2 linked regions of the Canis lupus familiaris genome follow. Each later gene encodes a partner of the first gene's protein in a complex. Links are inferred from orthologs where the notes say so. Each region holds a gene or a part of one and is shown in the gene's direction. Other genes may lie near its edges.

Evidence for each region.
Region 2: GTF2E2 (region 1) and POLR2G share a complex: the UniProt entries of both Homo sapiens proteins name them as parts of the TBP-based Pol II pre-initiation complex. The link is inferred for Canis lupus familiaris from reciprocal best matches to the Homo sapiens genes GTF2E2 and POLR2G.

The regions. Positions count from the first base shown.
Region 1 is NC_049237.1:34,514,932-34,519,264, forward strand, and holds the start of GTF2E2 (transcription initiation factor IIE subunit beta), read left to right. Parts: upstream 1-1,376; 5' UTR 1,377-1,557; intron 1,558-2,060; exon of another isoform or gene 2,061-2,082; intron 2,083-4,333. UniProt on the Homo sapiens protein: Recruits TFIIH to the initiation complex and stimulates the RNA polymerase II C-terminal domain kinase and DNA-dependent ATPase activities of TFIIH. Both TFIIH and TFIIE are required for promoter clearance by RNA polymerase.
Region 2 is NC_049239.1:54,436,334-54,440,591, reverse strand, and holds the start of POLR2G (DNA-directed RNA polymerase II subunit RPB7), read left to right. Parts: upstream 1-1,221; 5' UTR 1,222-1,423; coding exon 1,424-1,435; intron 1,436-1,554; coding exon 1,555-1,664; intron 1,665-2,619; coding exon 2,620-2,779; intron 2,780-3,512; coding exon 3,513-3,563; intron 3,564-3,658; coding exon 3,659-3,724; intron 3,725-3,820; coding exon 3,821-3,892; intron 3,893-4,089; coding exon 4,090-4,123; intron 4,124-4,258. UniProt on the Homo sapiens protein: Core component of RNA polymerase II (Pol II), a DNA-dependent RNA polymerase which synthesizes mRNA precursors and many functional non-coding RNAs using the four ribonucleoside triphosphates as substrates.

The DNA.
Region 1 (4,333 bases):
GAGAACTTAACATGGATAGAGGGGAAAAAAGACCTTTTTTTCTTTATGGGATGAATGCCTGAGAAGGAAGCAGGGTCCTGGAAAGATATTTACAGAATTGGGTAGGCTACCTAAGAAGTCTGGGGAAAGGCTCTAAGGGAGCAGAGAGCATCAATGCTAGGGAATAAATTGATACAAAACTGGCTCCTATTTCTCAGGACAGGGTAATTTTAACTTTTGGGTTAGTATTTTTCATTTGCTGCCTGCCCCTTCTCCCCATTACACTTCATCAGTTTTTTTTTTTTTTTTAACCAATTTCTGACTTTACCGGGTTGTAAATATTCCAGCAAAGTTACATTTCCTGAAGGTGTCACATGAACATCAAGTGAGTTTATTAGGAAATCCTCCAGAATGAAACTAATTTCAAAAAGGTACACATCAAAAAAAAAAAAAAAAAGCCACACATCAGTTATCTTTTGGCTTTTTTTTCTTTTGGCTTATTTCCAAGTTTTGAATAAAAATTTATTATTTCATCTAATCTGCACAACAGCCCAATGCAAGTACCTTATTTTGGTAGTACAATTATTCCCATTTCTCAAATGCAAAAACCGAAGCACAGGTTAAGTAACTTGACCAACCAGCACTAAGTAATTAAATAACAGCGTTGAGCACTGGCTTTGCTGCCACCTCCGGTAGTAAGAGAAAGGACAGCCGCAGGAAATATGACACCCTCCAATACCCTGCAGGCGGTGGGCCACGCCAGTTATCTGTTTCGTAGCATTCATTCATTACTCCTATCTCTTCATGCTGCCTTTTAAGTCTAAATCCTCGTCTAAGGGGGTTCACAGGTGTGGTGGTTGGGGATTTAAGCTGGGCTCCACGCCCGTAACTGGTTGCGCGCTGTGCCGTCTTGAGCAGGTCATGGCGCTTCACCCGACTTCTGTTTCTTTTAAAGATTTTATTTATTTATTGATGAGAGACACAAAGAGAGGCAGAGACAGAGGCAGAAGCAGGTTCCACGCGGGGAGCCCGACGTGGGACTCGATCCCAGGTCTCCAGGATCACGCCCTGGGCCGAAGGCGGCACCAAACCGCTGAGCCACCCAGGGAAAGGACAGATTTTTGTGTTCCATTTTAGCAACCGCTCCTCTTCCTACGTAAGCCTCATTCTCCGCCTCCCCCCTTTCCCGCCCGCCCGCCCGCCCGCCGTTGTCATGGAAATCCGGGACGCCCCTGCCGGCCGACTCCCCTCCCGCGGGACCCCGGGCGGGGCACGTGACGGCGCACGCGCGTTCTCGCGGGCGGGGGCGCCGCGGTGCCTGCCGGGACGGAGCTCCTCGTAGCCTGATCAGGAAGTGGCGGGCGGAGTTCCCGGCCGAGTCGCGCCGCCTCAGCCGCCGCCGCCGCCGCCAGTGCCGAGACCCCGACCTGGCGGGGCTGCGCTGGGCGTGCGTGCGGGCAGGCGGGGGCGCTGCTGACGAGGAGCAGGGAGCGGCGGCCACGCGGGCGTGGGCGGCTGGTGGAGGTGGAGGCGCTGGGAGGCGGCGGCCGGTCGCGTGGGGCGGCCCTCCTCGCTCAGGTAGGGGCCGCGGCCGCCGGGTGTGGGGAGCGGAGCCCCGGCCTGTGGTTCCTCGGGAGCGCCTCCTCCTGCGGGGCGAGCCTGTCTTCCGTCGGTCTCTCGGGGACGCGGGGTCTGCGGTTCTCTGCGCGAAACGCCAAACAGTACCAACTTCTGGGGCGCATTGTCTTTTAGGCCGGAGGTCCACTGAGCAAACTTTTGGGTTGGAAAGGGGGAAATTCGCCGTCAGGATGCTGACTGCCTCTCTTCCTGGCCCCCGACCTCACAGGAGCCGTAACTGAGCGGGACGTGTGTGGAGTTGAGGGAACCACGGGGTCCAGCTAAAGGCGGTGATTTAGATGCACCTCCGAGGGCTCTTTTTTTTTTTTATTATTTTTTTTTAAGCCGCGTTTTGGAGACTCGGTTTGTACTGATTCCCGAACTTTAGTTATTATAGTCGATGTCTGCAAAGTCTTAAGACCTGCTCCAAATCCAAACACTGGGGTGTACCTTTTCGTCCATCTCCCCGGTCCTGAGATTTAGGAGGTAAGCGGTGTCGTTTCCTACCTTGCCGGCTGTTCCTGGCAATGTTCTTGGGCTTATGCAGAGAAGGAAGCAAAGGAGAAGTAGAAAGGTTGAAAAATAAAAGGCGAATGGTAGAGGGGGAAGAACGTGTGCTCTGGAGCTAGATTTTGATTTAATTTTTGGCTGCTCAGTGACCATGGAAGAACACGTGAACTCCCTGAGTTGTGATGATTTTTTTTTTTTTTTTTTTTTAAGTGGGAAATGGGCATAGGTCTCCTGCGTAGGTCAGTATATGTGAAACTGCAGATTTCTGAGTAGTCTGAAAAAAGAGGTGGAAAAGTTAAGCGGAGCATGCGATGGTGGGAGAGAGAGAGAGAGAGGGAGACCTTCAGCCTTCTGCTCCTGGGTGCCATTGAACGTTACCGGTATCGCACAGGTCGCCTTTGTTTTATTAGAGGCCTTGACCAGCATTTCAGGTCTGGAGTAAGGAAGCTTTTGATTGAGGAGGCCGAGTATTCGTGTCCTGACCTAGGTACTTAACAGCTGTGTGACCCTAAGGGTCCCTCCTCACTTCAGATTTCACGTATTAAAATAAGGAATAAAACTAATACCTATCATTTCAGAGAGTTGTGAGGCTCAAATGCTGTAAGCATTTAGGTTTTTGTAAATTGTAAGGCTTTTGTTTAAGCCTGTGTTAAAATCATGGTTAAAAGCCTGGTTTGATTACCTGTCTTAACACGATGACTTAAACAGCTACAGATGTTTCCTGTTTTAGGTGTGTTGCCCCCATTTAATCACTTGTGATTTCTACCCCCCCACACACTTACCCTCCCCCCACGTCTGCTATCTTTCCAATACCCTAGCATAATCCTCCTGTTATTTTTTCTTTTCAGATCCAACTCAGAATAGTAGCAGTGAGGTAACATTTGTATATAGCTTTATTACTCAGAAAATTGCTTTTCACAAATATTGTCTCATTTTAAAGTTGGGCTAGATGGAGATAGCATTGACAGTATCTTCATTTTGTTTATAATAAAATTGGATTTAGTGAGGTCTATGGATTGCCTAGGTCATGTTGCAGTTACAGATTAGTACTGAGGATTCCAGAAGTCAGGTCTTTGATAACAGTGCCAGTGGCTCTTACTCATTCAAGTTTACTCTGATTATTTTTTTTTTATCAGTGCTTATATTTTTGACTTTTAGCACTCTGAGTCATATTTTATTCATTTTTTAAAAGATTTTATTCATTTATTAATGAGAGACAGAGGGGGTGTGGGCAGAGACACAGGCAGAGGGAGAAGCAGGCTCCATGCAGGGAGCCCATGGGGGACTCGATCCCTGGTCTCCAGGATCACGCCCTGGGCTTGAAGGCTTCGCTAAACTGCTGAGCCACCCGGGCCGCCCTTATTCATTTCTTTTTTTTTTTTTTTTTTAAATTTTTTTTAGATTTTTATTTATTTATGATAGTCACACAGAGAGAGAGAGAGAGAGAGGCAGAGACACAGGCAGAGGGAGAAGCAGGCTCCATGCACCGGGAGCCCGACGTGGGATTCGATCCCGGGTGTCCAGGATCGCGCCCCGGGCCAAAGGCAGGCGCTAAACCGCTGCGCCACCCAGGGTTCCCTATTCATTTCTTTTTAAGCAAGATGCTCAGTTCTTTCAGATTTTTCAAATGTAAGCTGCTTGAAGGCAAGGGTTTATCTTCTCGAATTCTTCAAAACCTGGAGTACATGAACACAAGACAACTATACAAAGCTTAGAGTCACAAACACAAGACATTTAATAAAGATTTGTGAAACCTGTAACAAGGCTAAAGCCACTTAAAGATGTTTTTGTGTTCGTTATTCATTTAACAAATATTGAGCTATTCTCTGCATGAAGGCTTTCAAAGTTCAGATAGGGGCCCCCCGGGTGGCTCAGTTGGTTAAGTGTCTGACTTGAGCTCAGCTCTGGTCTTGATCTCAGGGTGGGTGAGTTCAAACCCCATGTTGGGCTCCACACAGTGCAGGGAACCTACTTAGAAGCAAAACAAAACAAGAGCAAAGATAGGATCTTTTTCCTCCCAGACCTTCCTTCCCTGCTTGTGAAGAATGCAAAAATCATTTACATGGTCAGCTTGTTGTGCTTCCTAGACTTTCCACATATTCTGGGAGAGTTCAAACAAGAGGGGAACTTTTTTCTTTTTTGGAGTGTATTTTACACACAATTTTACATTAGTTTCAAGTATACAAAATAGTGATTTTACAACTCTATACCTTATGCTATGCTTATC
Region 2 (4,258 bases), on another chromosome or scaffold:
GAGGCCCATTCATCTGCTTCCTTGCCTGATCTTTCTTTTTTTAAGATTTTATTTATTTATTCATGAAAGACACAGAGAGAGAGAGGGGCAGAGAGAGAGAAGCAGGCTCCACGCAGGAAGCCCGATGTGGGACTCCATCCTGGGACTCCAGGAACTCGCCCTGGGCGCCCCCAGCAGGGGCCAAACCGCTGAGCCACCCAGGGATCTCCTTGCCTGATCCTTCAAAAGGGATCCCCATGGAGTTTTAGTGGCAGACTGGTGGGATCAACTATTCCAGGAAATGGACAGTGTCCATACGAACTGGTATGTGACAGTTCTGAGGAAGCAGACGTGAAGTGTCTGTTCTTGCTGTAGGGTGGGTCAGGATCTTTTATTTACAACATAAAAAAAAAAAAAAAACCACCATAAAAACCTTACTCAGGCAACTGGGAGTTTGCTCAAAGCCTTAAGGATTGTCCGGCTCTTAAAAAAAAAAAGAAAAAAGGATTGTCCGGCTCTAGAACCAGCTGCCCTGGCTGAGCCTTACTCATGGGTCTGTCTCATGGTTTCTGCCTCTTTCTGCATGGCCCTTTTATCAGTCAGTCTCAACAGGGAATAGATTGCATTATCACTCCGGTTAATTGAGGGGAGTTTAGCAAAGCGACTGTCTACAAAAAAGTGGGCAGAGTTGAGGGAACAAACCAATCAATTCTCTAAGCCCCCCATGCGTGTGTGTCAGCGGGTTGGGGGGAAACGGGAAAGAGGAGTGCAGTGACTTGGTTTCTCACACCGGAGGGAGGACTGACTCCTGGGCTCTGATTTTGGCTGCTTCATCTCCTAACTACCTGCAGCAAGGAGTGGGGTGCTCCATTTTATTGAACAAATGACTGCATGAAAATCTGGAATGTCCAAATACGCAAGGGTCTTGGAGGTCAGACACTGCACATTTGAATCGTGACCCTCAAGTGACCTCAACTCTCTGAGCCTGGTCCCTCATTTGTAAAGCTTGCCTAGTGGTGTTGCTATGTACATGAAATGAGATAAAGACAGCTCCTTACGATGCTTACTATGTGAAGGCAGCCTTCAAATATTTGCCACACGAATGCGTTCTGCTAAAGCACTGTATTCACGTTGTCTTTTATTAGCTAATTAATTCCGTTTAACAGTATATCGCGCATCCCTCCTAGGCCAGGAAACTGTTCATTTAGAAGAGCCAGCATTTGCGCCGCAGAGGACCTGGGCCGGAAGGGCGGGGCCTCACCGATTTCCCGCCCACGACAGCGATGACCAATTGGGTCCGCGAAGGGAGCGGAGTCCCGCCCACTTGGCGGGGACAGGCCCGGAAGCAGGGTTCCGGGGGCGGTGCGTGTTTCCGGTTGCGTGAGAACCGCGGCTACCACCGAGGCAGTTTGGGTTTGGCTGCTGTCCGGTCCCGGCTGGGAGGATGTTCTATCACGTACGCGGAGCACGGGGTGGCCGCGAGGGCAGGGTTAAGAGGAGGAGCGAAGCGGGGCTCCGGGACGAGGAGATGCTGTTCCTCGTCCTTGCTTGGTCTCCATGCCGCTTTCCCCGCAGATCTCCCTGGAGCACGAGATCCTGCTGCACCCGCGCTATTTCGGCCCCAACCTGCTCAACACGGTCAAGCAGAAGCTCTTCACCGAGGTGGAGGGGACCTGCACCGGCAAGTGAGTCCCGAGTGCTTCGCGCCGCCTGATCTGCAGCCTCTACCCAACTCCTACTCATCCTGCAAGCACCTGCCACCTGCCCCCTGCCCCGGGGAACCCTCTCACCCTCTCAGGCACCCGAGGCAGTCACTTGCTTCCGGCCTGGGTTCCCGAGGTGCCCTCTGGATCGCGAGACTTACTTCAGCAGAGACTGGTCATTCGTTTACTCCGCAGACTTTTTTTTTTTTTTTTTAAGATTTTATTTATTTATTCATGATAGAGAGAGAGGCAGAGACAGAGACACAGGCAGAGGGAGAAGCAGGCTCCATGCAGGGAGCCTGATGTAAGACTCGATCCCGGGATTCCGAGATCACACCCTGAGCCGAAGGCAGGCGCTAAACCGCTGAGCCACCCAGGGATCTCTGGGAATCTGTGTTTTAAGAAGTTCCTCTTAGGTGATTCTGAGGCATCCTCAAGATTGAAGTCTCTTGGCTTAAGGACTGCAGTCTCCTTGGACATTTATTGTGAAACATGAGAGCAGTGTTTGGCATTATAGATACTGATCGGGGATCCCTGGGTGGCGCAGCAGTTTGGCGCCTGCCTTTGGCCCAGGGCGCGGTCCTGGAGACCCGGGATCGAATCCCACGTCGGGCTCCCGGTGCATGGAGCCTGCTTCTCCCTCTGCCTGTGTCTCTGCCTCTCTCTCTCTCTCTCTGTGTGTGTGACTATCATAAATAAATAAAAATTAAAAAAAAAGTTATAGATACTGATCTGTATTCTTCTCCCAACATGAAGTTCTGTGGGCAGGGGTGCCATCTATTTCCCTTTGTGCCGTCCCCTGACCCCCATCATCACTGATTTGTTGTAGATGATTTTATTTTTTTTTATTTTTTATTTTTTTGTTTTTTTTTTGTTGTAGATGATTTTAGAGGCTCTTGCACACACGATGCCTTTCTTTTTTTCATCCTCCTTACAGGTATGGCTTTGTAATTGCTGTCACCACCATTGACAATATTGGTGCTGGTGTGATCCAGCCAGGCCGAGGGTTTGTCCTTTATCCAGTTAAGTACAAGGCCATTGTTTTCCGGCCCTTTAAAGGGGAGGTCGTGGATGCTGTTGTCACTCAAGTCAACAAGGTGAGTCCATACATAGTGGAGGCAGTTGGGTGGCTGCTCAGAAGATGGGGGATGGGTCCCAACTGCTCTTGCTAACTCTGTGTCCTTGGGTAAGTCACTTTTGCTTCAGTTTCTACACCTGTCAAATGGTGCAGAAACCTCCCTTGGGGTCCTGTAAGTCAGTATGAGTTGTCAGCAATAGTAGTCTCCATTCATTGAATACTTATTATGGGTTGGGTAAGGTCCAAAACCTAACGGTGACTAAGGTCATGCTTTTATCCATTTTTATAGAAGCTTACGCCTGGAGAAGTTAGAAGTTGTCTAATGGCCAAGGTCATGTGATCAACAGGTGGTCAGATTGTGGACCGACAAGTGCCAGGCCTTGGCTCTTTAGTGCACTGTATTTGCGTAACTTGAAATGAAATCTCAGCAGAAGAGACATGAAAGCAAATGATACAATTCAGAGTGGATTCAAAATATGAAGAATATTATTAGGAATTAGATAAAGTTGGGAAGCTTAGGTGAATTTGAGGATAAAAGAAAAAGCAAAGTCGAGGTGCCTGCCTGGGTGGCTCAGTCGGTTAAGCAGCCGCCTTCGGCTCAGGTCATGATCCTGGGATGGAGCCCCGCAGCCAGCTCCCTGCTCAGCAGGAATCTACTTCTCCCTTTCACTGTCTATACACGTTTGCTCTCTCTCTCTCTCAAATAAATAAAAATTTAAAAAGAAAAACAAAGTCCCCCATTGTCCTCTTAGGTTGGACTTTTCACAGAAATTGGACCAATGTCCTGCTTCATTTCTCGACATGTAAGTCTGGGCGTGCTGGGGGTGCTAAGGAGAGAAGCCAGTCATGACTCTCTCTGGAAGCACTCCTGTAAAGCTCTGTCTTGCTTTCCTTTCAGTCCATCCCATCAGAGATGGAGTTTGACCCCAACTCCAACCCACCATGTTATAAGACAATGGATGAGGTGAGTGGGGAAGAAGTCCATGAGAAGGACGAAGAATGAGCCCTCCAAGAAATTTTGGCTTGTAGGTATCTGAGTATCCTGTTTACTCTTCCTCAGGACATTGTGATTCAGCAGGATGATGAGATCCGCTTGAAGATTGTGGGGACCCGTGTGGACAAGAATGACATTGTGAGTCTCTTGCCTACCTTCTTACCTGTACCAGGCAGAGCTGGCAGCTGTTGATTTTCTTACCATGCAGGGTTCCTGGGGGTTTTGTTTTCTTCTGCCAGGAAGAGGGGATGGGTGAGCAGAAGGCCTGGGGCTGGGCTAGAAGTTAGTTCTATGCTTGCTTAGGCTCTGTTTCCTTTCTGCCTTCCCTCCTGCAGTTTGCTATTGGCTCTCTGATGGACGATTACTTGGGTGAGTGCCTGATCGTGTGTCCAGGGTTGTTGCCTAGAAAGGGGTGTGTGGAGGCAGGGGGTGGATGTGGGACTTAATGCTCGAGTCACAGATGAAAGAAACTCTTATGACTGTCTGCTTGGAAGATCGGGACCT